Rattus norvegicus: one gene and its partner. The protein of the gene in region 2 purifies or fractionates together with the protein of the main gene of each other region. This does not show direct contact. Links are inferred from orthologs where the notes say so. Each region holds a gene or a part of one and is shown on either strand. Other genes may lie near its edges.

What was found.
Region 1: the proteins of Cdk13 (region 2) and Cdc37 purify together in Homo sapiens (affinity purification with mass spectrometry; 3 studies listed by BioGRID and IntAct, with this or other methods). This does not show direct contact. The link is inferred for Rattus norvegicus from reciprocal best matches to the Homo sapiens genes CDK13 and CDC37.

Annotation. Positions count from the first base shown.
Region 1 is NC_086026.1:27,964,005-27,967,700, forward strand, and holds the start of Cdc37 (hsp90 co-chaperone Cdc37), read right to left. Parts: upstream 2,927-3,696; 5' UTR 2,817-2,926; coding exon 2,715-2,816; intron 1-2,714. UniProt on the Homo sapiens protein: Co-chaperone that binds to numerous kinases and promotes their interaction with the Hsp90 complex, resulting in stabilization and promotion of their activity. Inhibits HSP90AA1 ATPase activity.
Region 2 is NC_086035.1:51,945,220-51,948,967, reverse strand, and holds the start of Cdk13 (cyclin-dependent kinase 13), read right to left. Parts: upstream 2,268-3,748; 5' UTR 2,062-2,267; coding exon 848-2,061; intron 1-847. UniProt on the Homo sapiens protein: Cyclin-dependent kinase which displays CTD kinase activity and is required for RNA splicing.

The DNA of each region.
Region 1 (3,696 bases), on a different chromosome or scaffold from region 2:
ATAAACAGAAATAGGTGTTCCCTAGAATAACCATTCTCCAGCTGTGCGCGGCTCTTCAGTGCTTCCTAACACAATGCTATGTGAGGTACTGGTCTGCACTGCTGCCTGCCAGGCGGTCTTCCCAGGAAACTGGAAGGAATAGGTGTGTAGGTGGGACTAGAGCTGACTGCTGGATTTGGGGAGGATAGGGAAGGACTTTCGAGGAGTAAAGAGGAGAAGCTTTCCTCAGGAAGGTGGAATGCTAACTGCAGAGTACCTGCCAGCAGCCTGGGAGTGTAACAAGCACAGGGCTGATGAGAGAGCTCAGTGGGTGAAGGCCTGCTACCAACCCTGACGGCCTGAGTTTGATCCCGAGCCCACGTGGGTGGAGAGAACGGATTCCAGCAAGTTATCCTCTGACTGTGACAGGGTAGCGTGGCACATTTACACATACATGAGCATGAACATACACAAATACAATGTAACCTAGACAGAGTAAAGACACACAGGTATGTGGGTACAGATGCTTTAATTTGGGGGGCAGGTTAGGCCACTGTCTCTTTACTGCTGTGCTAGAGATGGAACCCAGGACCTCCTGCATGCTAGAGAGTGCTCTACCACTCAACTACATCTTCAGACCACCCTTACATCTAGGTAGTACACTATGGGCCTGCAGGCAATGCTGGCACAAGAGAGGCGGAAGAGCATGGCTTGCTCACACTTGGGGATCTGACGGTCTCAGTCTAAGGCATCTGTTATGGGCAGATTTAAAACTGTGTAGGACTTTATTTTATCTGCCTAGTGATCGACAGGATTCCCTGAGCCCGTGCCAGCCTCATACTTACTATGTGGCTGATGACTTTGAACTTCTGAGCCTCCTGCTTCTATCTTCTCAGTGCTGAGACTACGGGCCTGCCCCACCATGGCTAGCTTTTAAGCCAGATGGAGCCCAAGGCAATGCTTACAACTGAATTCCAGCCCATTTGGTTTTTGAGACAGGGTCTCACGTAGTCCAGGATAGCCTAGAATTTGCCCTATAGCAAGGATTAACTCTGAATTCCAGATCCTTCTACCTCCACCTCCTAAGACCTGAGTTTACAGGTGTGCTACAATGCTCAGAAAGTAAGGTAATGTTGGAACAAGATCCAGGAGGTGCAGAGTTAAATAGAATGATATGAACCCTCGAGAGGCCAATGAAACTGGAGAGGAAGGGCAGGTAGGACAGGAAGGGTTTGGTTTTCTGGGTTGGGATTGGGTGAGCTGTCTTTTCCTTCTCCTTTCCCCCTTTTCTCCCCTCCCCCACTTTCTTTCTCTGTCCTATCCTGCCACTGGACTCCATGCCTCCAAACAGAGTACCCCTATTTAGCTGTGCTGGAACTCTCTGTAGACCAGGCTGGCCTTGAATTCACAGGCCCGCCTGCCTCTGCTTCCTGAGAGCTGGGATTAAAAGTATGTGTCATCACCATCCGGTTTGGTGAGTATTCAATGATGGCTACAAATCATACAGGAGCCAATGTGGGCAGAATGGGGGTCTACTTACTATACTACTAGGAGCAGAGGTTCTGACCGGAAGTTAAGTGGGTGGGGTTTCCTGGAGTAAGGGGAAATAAGAATCTACAGGAGGTGAAAATAAGGAAAGCCACTAGAATTGGATGATGGGCAAGAGTGGAGCTGGGGGTCAAATAGAGAGGCTAAGGGGGCTCTAACACTGAAGTCCCAAGTGTAGCTCTGGTCTATAACCCAGGGAAATCGATCCTGGACTGGGAATCCCAGCTGCAAACTAAGATTGACCATTAAATTAAGAGCAGGGCACAGCCCTCATTTAGTTTGGAAGTTAGGGGGTTGGGGGTTCGGGGGGTTGTCTCTGGGCCTTAATGGAAATTCGTGCCTAAGATCCTGGGAAGTAGATGCCACAATCAGAACGAAGTTTTATGGATCCAGACTCTAGGGGGTGGGGAGAGGCAGAACGGAGATGTGCAATCAGAAGTGGGTGCATGGCTGGGATATGAGATCACCTAACAAAACCTGGGTCCAGACTCTGAGGAAGAATTCTGAGAACAAAAGGTTCCACAAAGGATGATGGGGACCCTACACACATGGGTCAGCTTCGGAGGTGGGGTGGGGTCTAGACTCTGACTAAAGAGTATTAAGAGCTGATAAAATGACTCAGTGTACAGGTGCTTGTGGCAACTCGGGGTGACCTGAGTTCCACACCCAGTTCCAACGAAGTGAAAAGAGAGGCCCAACTTCTGCAAGTTATCCTGTAATCTTCCTTTGCATGCTGTGCCACGTGCACACAAGAACACACACACAATAAGTAAACGTACAAACAGAAGAGATCCACAGCACAGAGAGAAAGCCCGGAGATACAGATGAAGAATTAGAATGAAGAATCCAGGAGTCCTGGGATTAAAAGGTCCAGCCCAGCATGATGGCACATGTCTTTAACCTCAGCACTGGGAAGGCAGAGGCAAGAGGATCTCCGTGAGTTAGAAACCAGCCTCTTCTATATAGCAAGTTCCAGGCCAGGCAAGACTACCCAGTGAGATTTTGTTTTTAAAAAAAGAAGAAAGAAAAGAAAGGGGGAAAGTCTAGATTGTGGAACAGGAGGCTCTGGATGTCAAGAACTGAGGTCTCCCCCGCCCCCCACGCCAGGCGGCCTGGCTAAGAGGTCAGAACTCTAGAGCGGGGGGTCCCGGGAGTGGGGGGAAGGGGATGAGCGCGCACAGCCCCACCTGGTGCCGCCAGCGGAACAGGCTGGCCGTGTCTATGTTGGGGTGCGTCTCGTCCTCATCGTCCGACACCTCGATGTGATCCCAAACGCTGTAGTCCACCATCTTCGCCTCGGAGGCCCGGACTGGCTCCCGGGTCTCCACACGGCCGGGCGCTGAACAGGGACCCACAAGGGCTAGAGAGTCCGCTCGCCCCGCCCCGCCCCTTCCGCTTCCGCCCAGGGCGCCGCGCACGACGGCCCCGCCCCAGCGTCGGCGCATGACGTTCGTCCTTAGCAACGGGAGTCGGCGGCATTGGCAACCGGAGGTCATCTTTAAAGGGCCAGGAGTACGTGGTGCGGCCTTCTGGAAGTTCCCGCCGAAACCAGACTGAACATCCTTTAGAGACAAAAGGTTAGTCTTGTTGGGCGTGGTGGCCCACGGTAATCCAAGTATGCTAGGGGCGAAAACAGGTGGCTCTCTACAAGTTCTAGTCCAGCCAGGGTACATATTGAGACTGTCAAAAAGTCAAAATTGGCTGGGCAGTGGGGACGCAATCTGGCGGATCCAGGCCAGCCTGGTCTACAGAGTGATTTCTAGGACCGTAAGGGTTGTTACACAAACAAACATTCTAAAAAAAAAATAAGTCAAAATTGAGCCTGGAGAAATGGCTCAATGGTTTGGAGAACTGGCTGGTCCTCCCTCACCTACATGGCGGCTCGTACCTATCTGGTAAGTCCATCTCAGGGTATATTGCGCCCCCTTCTGGCCTTCACCCACACCGAGCATGCATGTGGTACACAGATATACTTGCAGGCAAAATATTAATACGCATAGTTTTTTTTAATGATGTTTGCCCTTAAATAGTTTTTTTCCCCAGACAGGGTCTCACTGTATAGCTCCGGCTGTCCTGGAATTCACTATGTAGACCAGGCTGTCTTCAAATGAACAGATCTTTCTACTTCTGCTTCCCAATGCTGGGGTTAAAGGTGTGCACCACTACACC
Region 2 (3,748 bases):
GTCACTTTTAATTCACTCTACATAATAGATATGTATCAATATACACATTTTTTGAGACTATTATTGTATAACAATGGCTTACTCCAATTTCAAATTATATTATCCCTGCAAAAATTTCTGAACACGTTCATTAGGATTACTATTCCTTAAAAGACCTAACTTTACAGTGAGCATTTTTCAGATTTATAGTGGTCTGAGAATGCACTAAACATTCGCTTGATTACACTGCACCATTATATCCACTTACATATTGGCAACTGGGTACTGAACGTAACTGTCATTTTTCCCCTCCTTTTTAAAACCATGATTTTGAAAGATCAGATAAAAAAAACCTACCCAAGAATCTCTCTTGTATATCTTTTCTTCAAACTCTATTTCTATCAACACTACTTAAAATGTATTTCCAATATTAAAATAAACTTCACAAAAGCTGATTTTCCTATCCCCGTATTAATGAAACAACTGCAATCCTCATCTAACTCTGACATCACCTGATGGATTGCTCTTTAAAATTTAAGTCCCTGTATTGCAGTCCATTAATAAAGCACCAACAAAGGAACCTTTTCTCCATAAACAGGTACTAAGCCAAATTAAGCCAAACTAGCAATGCTGGAAGAGCAGAGTATTTTGCACAAACCTGCTAATATTTAAAAGCAACAAGTTAAAAACCCTCCTGCTCCAGCTAGTCGCTTGGTCCCTCCCACCCCCACAGGTGCGCACAGCACTCCCCTCCCCGCTAGAAACCCTTCCTCTGGCCCTGAGCTCTGGTCTGGGAAATGGACCGAGCAGACCAGAGGCGCCTCACTCCACTTTCCCTGCCTCCTATGGGTAGGGGAGCTGGACTCACCTGAGTACTGGACTGTAGGGACTGCGCGAGCGCCGCCAGCTGCTGCTGCTGTACGGGCTGGGGGATACGTCGCCGCCCCGCTCGTAGGAGCTGTGGCGGCTGTAGCTGGGCGAGCGGCGCCGGCTGTAGGGGCTCGGGGAGCGCGGCAACCGCCGGGAATAGGGACTGCTGCCACCTCCCGCCGGGCTGGGGGACTTGCGGCTCCGGAGGCTCTGCGAGGCCCTGTGGGACACCGGGCTTTCGTCCCGGCCTCCCAGCGGGCTCAGGGACCGCTGCCGCCGCCTGTAGGCCTTCGGTTCGCTCTTGTCCTCCCGGTAGGCCTTGGGCGGCTCCTTGTAGGCCGAGGGCGGCTCCTTGGACGACTTAGTCCGGCTGCGATGGGCCTTGAGGTCCCGATCCTTGCGGCTGCTACTACTGCTGGACGTAGCCGATGCACTTTTGCGGCGGCCGCCGCTGCTGCTGCTACTGCCGCTCTTGGCGGCCTCGGCCCGCTCCTCGCCGCTGTGTCCGTGGCGGCTGCGGGCCTTTGAGGCCTCGCTGCCACTGCGCGTCCCGTCCCGCCGCCGGTGCTCGCGATGGCGCTCCTTACTGCGACCGCTGCTGCTGCGGCGGTCCCGGCGCGGCCTGCGCTCCGACCCCTCCGCGCGCCTCTGCGTGCCGGAGGAGGAGGCCGGACTCCCGCCGTTGCCCCCCGTTCCCCCGGCAGCCGTCGCCGCCGTTGCCGCGCTGGCGCCCCCCAGCAGCAGCCCCTGCTCGGACTGGGAGCTTACATCCTCATACTCCACCAGCGGGGTCACACCCCCGCCGCTACTGGCACCGCCACCGCCGTCCTGCTGCGGCTGGGGCAGCGAGAAGACCCGGCGCTTCTCCGCCTCCTGCCCGGCGCGGGGCCCGCGGCGCCGCTTCTGCCGCCCTCCGGGGCGCCTCTTGCCTCTCGCCAGCCGCTTGACCTCCAAAGGAGGGCCCGGGCTGAAGCAGGAGGAGGAGGCCGCGGCGGCGGCGGCTGCGGCGGCGGCCGCGCCGGGGGCAGCCAGGAAGAGCAGAGGCGGCGGGGGCGGCGGCGGTTGCAGGAGCTGCGGCTGCAGGAGCGGCAACAGCAGCGGCGGCTGCTGAGGGGACAGGAATCGCCTCCGCTTGCGGCGCTCCTCCAACTTCTTCTCGGCCCAGCTCAGGCCCCCGCCTCCCCCCAGCGCCGTGTCCGAGCTGCTCGGCATCGCCTAGAGCCCGCCGCAGAGTGCGGCGCGGGTGCGGCCTCCTCCGGGGTCAGACCCTGGCCATGTCCCCCGCCGGGAAGGGGGACGGCAGCCGCGGCGGAGGGGTAGCGAGCAGCAGGGCCGGCCGGGAGTCGCGCCACGATAATCCGGGTCGGGACGCGCGTCCCCGTTTCTAGTCGCCGTGTGTGCGCAGAGGCCTCAGGGCCTGGTGCGGGAGGATCCTGTCCTCGGCAGAAAGCCGGCCGCACCCGGCGGCGGCGGCGGCGGCCTCGGGCTCCGGCGGCGCAACGCGGAAGTGCCACCGCGGGCCGCGCTTCACTCCATCGTCCTGACGTCGGGGGCGAGCTCGCGGGAGGGCAGTGGGCGCGACCACAGCACGCCTCCGTCGCCGGCCACTGCGCGTCCACGTCGTCTTGTGGCGGCGGCGACACCCCGCGGCACTCGGACAGGCCTGGGCCTTGCGCCCCGAGGGCACTGCGCGCAGCTTCCGGAGCGGGGGCGCGGCTCGCTGTCCTCCGCCCCTCCACGCGGGCTCCGCGCGCGCCGCTCGCCCCTCCCTTCACTCCGCGTTCTCCCTGCGGGAGGGCGACGCGACTGGCTGGCGGAGCCCTCACCGCGCACCACCCACTCGCCGCGTTCCTCAAGCCTTTCCCCTAAACCAAACGCTATGCCGGCGGCGCGCACGCTCGTCACGTTCGGGAACGCAGACGGAGAGTGGTGGCACCGTCGAGGGCGGTGCTGCGTGCTCGCTCCCGCCAGAACCCTGGCTGTCACCGGAAGTGACGGAGAGAAGTCATTCCACTTCCGGCAGAGGTGGGACGCAGAAGCGGGGTTAAAGAAAGGAGAGGAGGCGTGGGCTGCGCTGTGCTGTTGCTGGAGGCACTCCCTGTGGCGCCAGTTATGGCGCTTGTTGCTTACCTCCAGTTAAAGGTCACGGCAGGACCGGGACGAATCTTAACGACTACCCTTACTCCAGCCAAGGGATTGGAACATCTGTGAGAGGAGACGAGACTCTCCGCAGAGGGCGAAGCTGATGTTAGCCTGACTGGTCTCACGAACACCCAAGTTCAAGGACCCATCGGAACCTAAAAATATACTTGGTGTTTATAGCTTCGAGTTTCCGCAACACTGAAATTCCCTTTTAAAAAGCCTTAAGCCAATCTGGAGAATAGGTCAAATATCAAGGAGGACTACTGAAAATCACAGGAACCTTAAACATCTTGTAGTAACGGAGGCTGCCCTCTATATTTTCACCTATAATAATATCTACACCTATGAGCTGTCAGCTACATAATTCCTAAACGTTGCATCTCTTGCCTTAAGATTGCCCTTCAGTTAGAGGCTAGGCAACAGGGTAATTAGATTAAAATCTAAATGGCTTATTGGTCGTTAATACTGAAAAGAGGCTAAAAGTGCACAAAGTGGGTACATGTAATTACCCCCTTAACAAATTTATTATTTCAAGTCATCAGCTGGTTTGTAGTTCTTAGTAATCAGGTTGACCTCAAGCATCATTGTATCACAAACTAATGGAAGCTCAGACTTCGAAGTTTACAAAAGATAGTTGCTAGGAGATAAAGGAATATGTTTGAATAGCTACTTCTGACAATGACAGGCCTGAGTGGATCACCCAATGGGATCTTCTTCACACACCAAAGGAAAGATACTGGGAAACTAAATTTCAGAA